Linked DNA regions of Mus musculus: region 2 is reported to be linked to region 1. Evidence: microRNA targets listed by miRTarBase, many of them from high-throughput screens and not tested one by one. Region 1 holds a microRNA gene; the other region holds the end of a gene's coding sequence.
What was found. Region 1 holds the annotated microRNA mmu-miR-208a-3p (AUAAGACGAGCAAAAAGCUUGU, at 1,376-1,397, opposite strand). A microRNA usually pairs through its seed, bases 2 to 8, with sites in the 3' UTR of a target mRNA and lowers its output. Matches are read on the target gene's strand: a 7mer-m8 pairs with bases 2 to 8, a 7mer-A1 pairs with bases 2 to 7 and ends in A, and an 8mer does both.

Region 1 (3,518 bases):
CCTATGAGGTTTATACATTAATTCCATCTTATAGATGAGGGCAGCAAGGCACACAGAGGGTCTCAAGACAGGGTTCAAACCTAGGTCATTTGACCCTGGAGCCTGTGTTCCTACCCAGTGGTTTGAGCTGATATTATGATAGCCCGATTCCAGCCAGGAAGCAAGCAAGCCTTCTGTCCTACAAACCAGACTGTGGCATTGTACAATGTGAGGAACTCAACTTTGGGGGAAGTCATTGTTCCTGGGTATCTAAGAATACCCATGGTGACTGTCTACTAAGAATGGGAGCCAATAGATTTGTGTCCTGGGGTCAGGGTGACTTCTGTGAGGCGGTAAGACAGGATACAGCAGGACAGGCTGGAGAGTGCCTAGTTAGGCCCTTACCTCAGCCTCCTCCAGGGCTGACTGCAGCTCCAGCTTCTCCACCTCCAGCTGTTTGCGGATCTTCTCCAGCTCGTGCACGTTTTTCCCCCCTTCTCCCAGCTGTTCAGTCAGGTCTGAGATCTCCTCTGAGGATCAGAGGACCAGAAAGATCAATATGCCTTGCCCCACTTCCCTTTCCCTGAGGCTCTTCCCTGTCCCCCAGCTCGCCCACCCTGGAGGTTCTTGTTCTCCCGCTTGAAGGTCTCCAGGTGCTCCAGAGACTCCTCATAGGCGTTCTTGAGCTTGAAGAGCTCTGTGCTCAGGGAGCGCGCCTCCTTCTGGGAAGACTCCAGCTCTGACTGCGACTCCTCATACTTCTGCTTCCACTCAGCCAGGATCTGCAGGGAAGGAGCGCCCTGTGACCAGAACTGCCCAGGCCCCTCTCCTGACTCAGCCCTCCTCCCCCACCTCCAAGGAACATGCTGTGGCCTTGAGCTGGCACTGACCCCACCAGCAGCATGCACAGTGTCTGCAGCCCCACCGTGAGCCTACCTTGTCAAAGTTCCTCTGCTTCTTGTCCAGGGCTGCGGCGGCGGCATTGGAGCGCTCCACGTCCACCATCAGGTCCTCGATCTCATTCTGCAGCCTGTGCTTGGTCTTCTCCAGGGAGGAACACTTGGCGTTGACGGCCTCCACTGCCTCCTCTGCATCCTGCAGCCTCTGAGCCAGCTTCTTCCTGTCCAGGGGAATGTATGTGACTGTACTTGGAGCCACAAGGACGTGAGATGATCTCCTCCTTCCGAGTGTTGATGGGAAAGACCCAGCTTCTCCCCACAGTTCCCTAAGATGTTGGAACCCCAGCCTAGAGGATGTGAGGGCTACTGGAGCCTAGAACAGAGACGTCCATCACAGGCTGCTCAGACTCTCCCACACATACATCACATCTGTGTGACTGTGCACCCCCACCCGCTTCCCTCAGGCCCAGGCTGCATGATGATAGCTCCTCTGACCAACAAGCTTTTTGCTCGTCTTATACGTGAGTGTCAGGTATAACCCGGGCCAAAAGCTCACCCGTCAAAGGAAGTAAGCAAGGGCCAGCCAGGCGTTACAGGTTGCAGGACTCAGGCTTTCTACCAAACACTCCCATGGCTCACCAGGTCTCCCCATCCTCTGTTCTCCCACCCCAAAGCTCTTTCCTGCATCTACTCTGCCTGTCTCCACAGCAGACGCTCTGCTCCATTCTCTTGGCAAATCCAGGGGCAGCCACAGTGGACTCACTTGGCTTCCTCCAGCTCCTCCGTCCTCTGTATGGCATCCGTCTCATACTTGGTCCTCCACTGGGCCACCTCTGAGTTGGCCTTGGACAGGACACGCTGTAGCTCAGCCTTGGCCTCCATTTCTTCTTCATACTGTTCCCTCAGCAGGTCACAGTCATGCCGGGATGATTGCAGTGCGTGGGCCAGGGCGTTCTTGGCCTGGGAAGAGGTGGGCATCAAGGAGATTGGAGCAAACCCAACCCTCCAGTCTCTAGATTCTTATGCGTATTTACTTCAGTCAAGACCCAGATTCACCCACATGAAGTGGAGTCTCAATGTCTTTGAGTGATTTCCATTTGCCTACCTCTCTCCTTTACCAATAAGGAGTCATTAAATGATCAGGAGGGCTGACCATTTAGTAGGGAGATAGGTTACCAGGTTACCTCTGGCATCCAGGTGCACTCTTGGAGGTAACAGTGTGTCCAGTGATGCCACGGAGTCTGTCCCACTGCCATTATATGGGCCTCACCTTGCCTTCCTCCTCCAGTTGCCTCTTGAGGTCCTCCATCTGCTGGGTGTAGGAGAGCTTGCCTCGGGTCAGCTGGGAAATCAATGCCTCCTTTTCTTCCAGTTGCCTAGCCAACTCCCCTGCAGGTGGAATGAAGGGTTCTTGGGCCATGGAAGGGGGAAACCAAAGCTACCAGGGGCAGGCTAGGGGACGGTAAGGGGCACCCACCGTTCTCTGTCTGCAGCTTGGCTCGCTGTGTGGTGAAGTCATTGAGGGAGCGCTGGGCTTCTTCCAGCTTCACGCGGTACTCATTGGCCTGGTCCTCCAGTGTCCGGGACACTTTCTCCAGGTTGGCCTGCAGGCATTAATGAGCAGAGGAAAGGTGAATGTGGAAAGGGCCACGACTGGCAGGGAGGAGGGGAGCTGCTGAGAGGGCCCACCTTGGCCTTGATGATCTGCTCCATGTTGGAGGTGACGTCATCCAGCTCCAGCTTGAACTCGCTCTTCTCTTTCTCCAGCTTCTGCTTCACCCGCTGGAGGTTGTCGATCTGCTCGCCCAGCTCCGCCACGCTGTCAGCATGCTTCTTGCGCAGGGCCGCCGCCGTGGCCTCGTGCTGCAGCGTGGCCTCCTCCAGGTCCCGCCGCATCTTCTGGAACTCGGCCTCGCGCTTCTTATTCATCTCTATCTGCACGGATGTGGCCCCGCCTGCCTCCTCCAGCCTCTCACTGATCTCCTCCAGCTCCCGGGACAGGTCAGAGCGCAGCTTCTCCACCTTAGCCCGGGCTGTGCGCTCTGCCTCCAGCTCCTCCTCCAGCTCCTCGATGCGTGCCTAGCCAGGGATACAAAGGATCAGACCTGCTTCCTGGACCCCTCCCTTGAGGCCCGTGCTCCAGGGCTCTAAAAGGCTCCCATGCGCACTAAACCTCTAGCACGGGTTTTCAGCTACTAGGTATAGCTGGTGATGGCTGGAGACATTTTAAACTGTGTGGAGGATGCTATAGAAGCAAGGGACATTGCTAAACACCCTAGAATAGAAAATTGGCCGAAGCCAAAGTTTGGAGGATTTCCCTAAAGCATCTGAGATTCAGTTTGAGCATCTGCAGCCTAAGTGTTGAGCATCTGTGTTTGGAGCGGGATCCTGAGATCTCCTGAGATTATGAACCTCAGACAGCCAACAGTTTCACCTGACTCTGATCCACTGACTATAAGGCAAGGAAATGAGCACTCGGTTTTTTTTGTTTGTTTTTTTGTTTTTTTGGTTTTTTTTTTGTTTTTTGTTTTTTTAAACTAACATTTGTAGCAAAGCTGCCTCAAGAACAACCAAATCCTACTGCAATTATCTGAGCTAACCATGAGGTCTAATCACCTAGATTCCCCATGTCATGGATTC
Region 2 (3,000 bases), not on the chromosome of region 1:
CCACTGATTCTCTGCTACAAATGCCACCATTTGTCCTTTAATGTGGCGATGATGAGCAAACCAGTATGGCTGGTGAAGAACCTTCTGGAATCTTGTCAGCTTCCTTACAGTAACGCACCAGTCCATCTGATGCCGCTTGCTACTGGGAGACAAGGGCTGTAGTCTCTGCTCCTCAAGACGTCTCAACTCCTTTTAGCCGGCACAGACTAACATGTGCCTACAGCATTCACTGCCTCATGGAAACCAGCTTAAGAGCCCAACTACCTAGTTCTACATGCGCAGTTACCAGGATTCTACAAGCACCCATGCTTATTAATGTTGTGGGAGAGTCTACCTGAAACACAGGAAGAGCAGCTAGCAGTGGCCTGAGCCTAGCCTGGTACAGGCTACAGTCCCAAGATCTAAATGCCTTCAGCTAAGTAAGGCATTGCTGAAAGCACACAACTGGGTAGAGACACATTGGCTACCTTACCACAGTCTCTTGACGGCACCATATGCTTGCGCTTCTCATCTAACAGTCTGACTCTTACCAGATGTGGGGTCTGCATGTCAGCATCTGGGACAGATCCTTCACCAGTACCAGAGCCCTATACGGTCTTTGGAGCAGAGCCTGCACTCTAGGGTTTGTAGTAGCCAGAGAGGCAACTGGATCAAGTGTCCCAAAAGGACATTCCCATCCCTTTCTTCATTGCAGACAGAGAGACGTAAGGGCCTAGGATGATCTTAAGTACTACTGTGCAAGGAAGGAGGCTAGAACAGCTGGAAAACAGAGGTGGCAGCTTTAGGAGTTACAAGGACCTGCCAAGCTTGGTGTGGTAGCACATTACTTTCAGCCCAGCACTCAGGAGGTAGAGGCAGGTAGATCTCCAGCCAACTCAGTCTATAAATCAAGTTATAGGATAGCAGGGTTATACAGAGAAACCCTGTCTCAGAAGAAAAAGGAAAGGGGGTGGAGTGGGGTGGGGTGGGGTGGGAGGGGTGTCAGCCCTGGCTAGCATGTGGAGAGTGAGCAGTGACGTGGCTAGCACAGGGGTCACCTGTTCAACAAGAAATAGCCATGGCTACCTGATATGCTAGGTCCAGCAAGAGTGACCATGTTACAAGAATCTACTAAAGGGCAAAGAAGGGGAATGGAAGTATTTTTGGCACCACTCTGAGTCCGATGGCCTGAGCATGACAACTGACTGACCACCTCTGGGCTCCTGAAGAGGGCTGCTAAAACATCATCAAGCTGTGAGCTCTTCCTACACCCTGACATCTAAACCTGGCTTGGGTCCCAGAATAGGAAGAGAGATAGCCTGGGGCAAAGACACCCCTCAGATACCAGCAATAACACATGAAATTTTAAGTGTGGATAAAATCTGTAGACATTGCAGTGCATTTGGGGGTTGGGGTAGGGTCAGGCCATTAGAGAGAAATGGTATCTCAGATCACTTAGAAGGAACTAGGCTGGGCAGTGGTGGCGCACAACATTAATCCCAGCACTTGGGAGGCACAGGCAGGCGGGTTTCTGAGTTCAAGGCCAGCCTGGTCTACAAAGTGAGTTCCAGGACAGCCAGGACTACACAGAGAAACCCTGCCTCAAAAAACCAAAAAAAAAAAAGAAAGAAAGAAAGAAAGAGAGAGAGAGAGAGAGAGAGAGAGAGAAGGAACTAGGCATTAAGCATAGGTAGAAAGCAGAGCCACCTAAATAAAGGACTCTTACTATTCCTTGTCCATATCTCTCAATTCTTAAACCGCAAGAAAGCCATTCCCAACCAGCTTTGAAAGACCATACAAAACATCCATACAAGCTCCAAGAAACAAAATTTCTTCCCCCTTCCTCATGCCAGGCAGAACCACACCTCTGGATGGTTTGGGTAGGAAGCACTAGTTGAGGGCTAAGTAGTCTTGGGAAGATACCATTATCTACATGGCTCTGGGACCCTTCTCTGCTTCATGGTCAAGGCAACCAGGAAGTATCTTAGGTTGAAGATACCACCAGGCAATAGACTGGACTATACTCACAGTCCCTTGCAACATCACTGCAGACAGAACAGCCAAGTGGAAAAAAGATATCAGAAAGAAAGCAGCAGTGGCTATGGCCTCCCTTCGCATGGATAACAGCTCCAAAGACAAAATGAACACCAGGCAAATGAACTCCTCTTGCAAGGAGGAGACCCCCTGGAAGGCTCAACACACAGACAGACATACAGTCAGGACGCCACACAGGCTACAGGACTTCAAGGGCTCTGATACCAAAAGGATTTCTGAGGTCTACCCTTCTCGGGTCAGCTGTCCTGGCTTCTGTGGATGGTACAACCCCTACTTGTTGCACAGGCTGTCCTTTGCATGTGGATATTGTTATGCTGTTAGAGGTGCTCCTGTTCACTGTCTTCTCAGGATTCTGGGCTTGACTTTCTCTACTGTGCAGACAGATTCATGGGACCAGCTCCGTAGACCTCCTTTGTGGATTCCACGATGCCCGTGTCACAAAGCATAGTCACTGAGAGAGGTCACCAACAGGATTACCACCTCCTCCACCATCAAAAAGAACCTCCCGGCGGCCAGGCTCAGTGATGGACAATTCTTGGGCCAGGTCATTAAACCGAGATATGTAGTCAATGCTGTTCTCGTTCATCATGCACACCAACTGGGAATCCACCACCTGTAGGACAGAAGGGACAAGGAGACATTAGTCTGAGGACGGCTTACCATCCAGAGAGAGGCTCTTGACCCCCAGAGCAGAATGTCAGTGGAAGGAGCCAACTGCTCTATGAGGAATTTTGGAATCCTTTGTGGTCTAACCACATGAACTTTTTTGTAAGAACATACTCTGCACAAGCCCCTGGGAAAGCCTCTGAGAACATGAAACACCTCGATACTGAGAATATAGTAGCAGCAACTCCATCTGATACTCATGAGGAAGAGAGTCACAGAAGGGCCAACAGTGACAAGAGAAGGCAGAGATCAAAGCAAACAACAGTTAATGAGGGTCCCTAAAGCATCAGGGCCTCACAC

Region 2: miRTarBase lists Cramp1l as a target of mmu-miR-208a-3p. The part of its 3' UTR that is shown has no 7-base or 8-base seed match.

The regions. Positions count from the first base shown.
Region 1 is chr14:54,947,697-54,951,214 of GRCm38, forward strand. Mir208a (microRNA 208a) reads right to left here and starts at 1,446; the gene lies at 1,364-1,446. It overlaps Myh6 (myosin, heavy polypeptide 6, cardiac muscle, alpha), which reads right to left. Exons shown (of 39, transcript NM_001164171.1): 26 at 2,568-2,957; 27 at 2,356-2,482; 28 at 2,149-2,267; 29 at 1,642-1,838; 30 at 916-1,099; 31 at 596-761; 32 at 385-509. Gm52092 (a long non-coding RNA gene) reads left to right here and starts at 3,344. Exons shown (of 3, transcript XR_003950992.1): 1 at 3,344-3,518.
Region 2 is chr17:24,962,300-24,965,299 of GRCm38, forward strand. It overlaps Cramp1l (cramped chromatin regulator homolog 1), which reads right to left. Exons shown (of 21, transcript NM_020608.3): 21 at 1-2,647. The coding sequence ends at 2,483. Among named protein-coding and RNA genes, the nearest start is that of Jpt2, 3.2 kb to the left of the region's middle.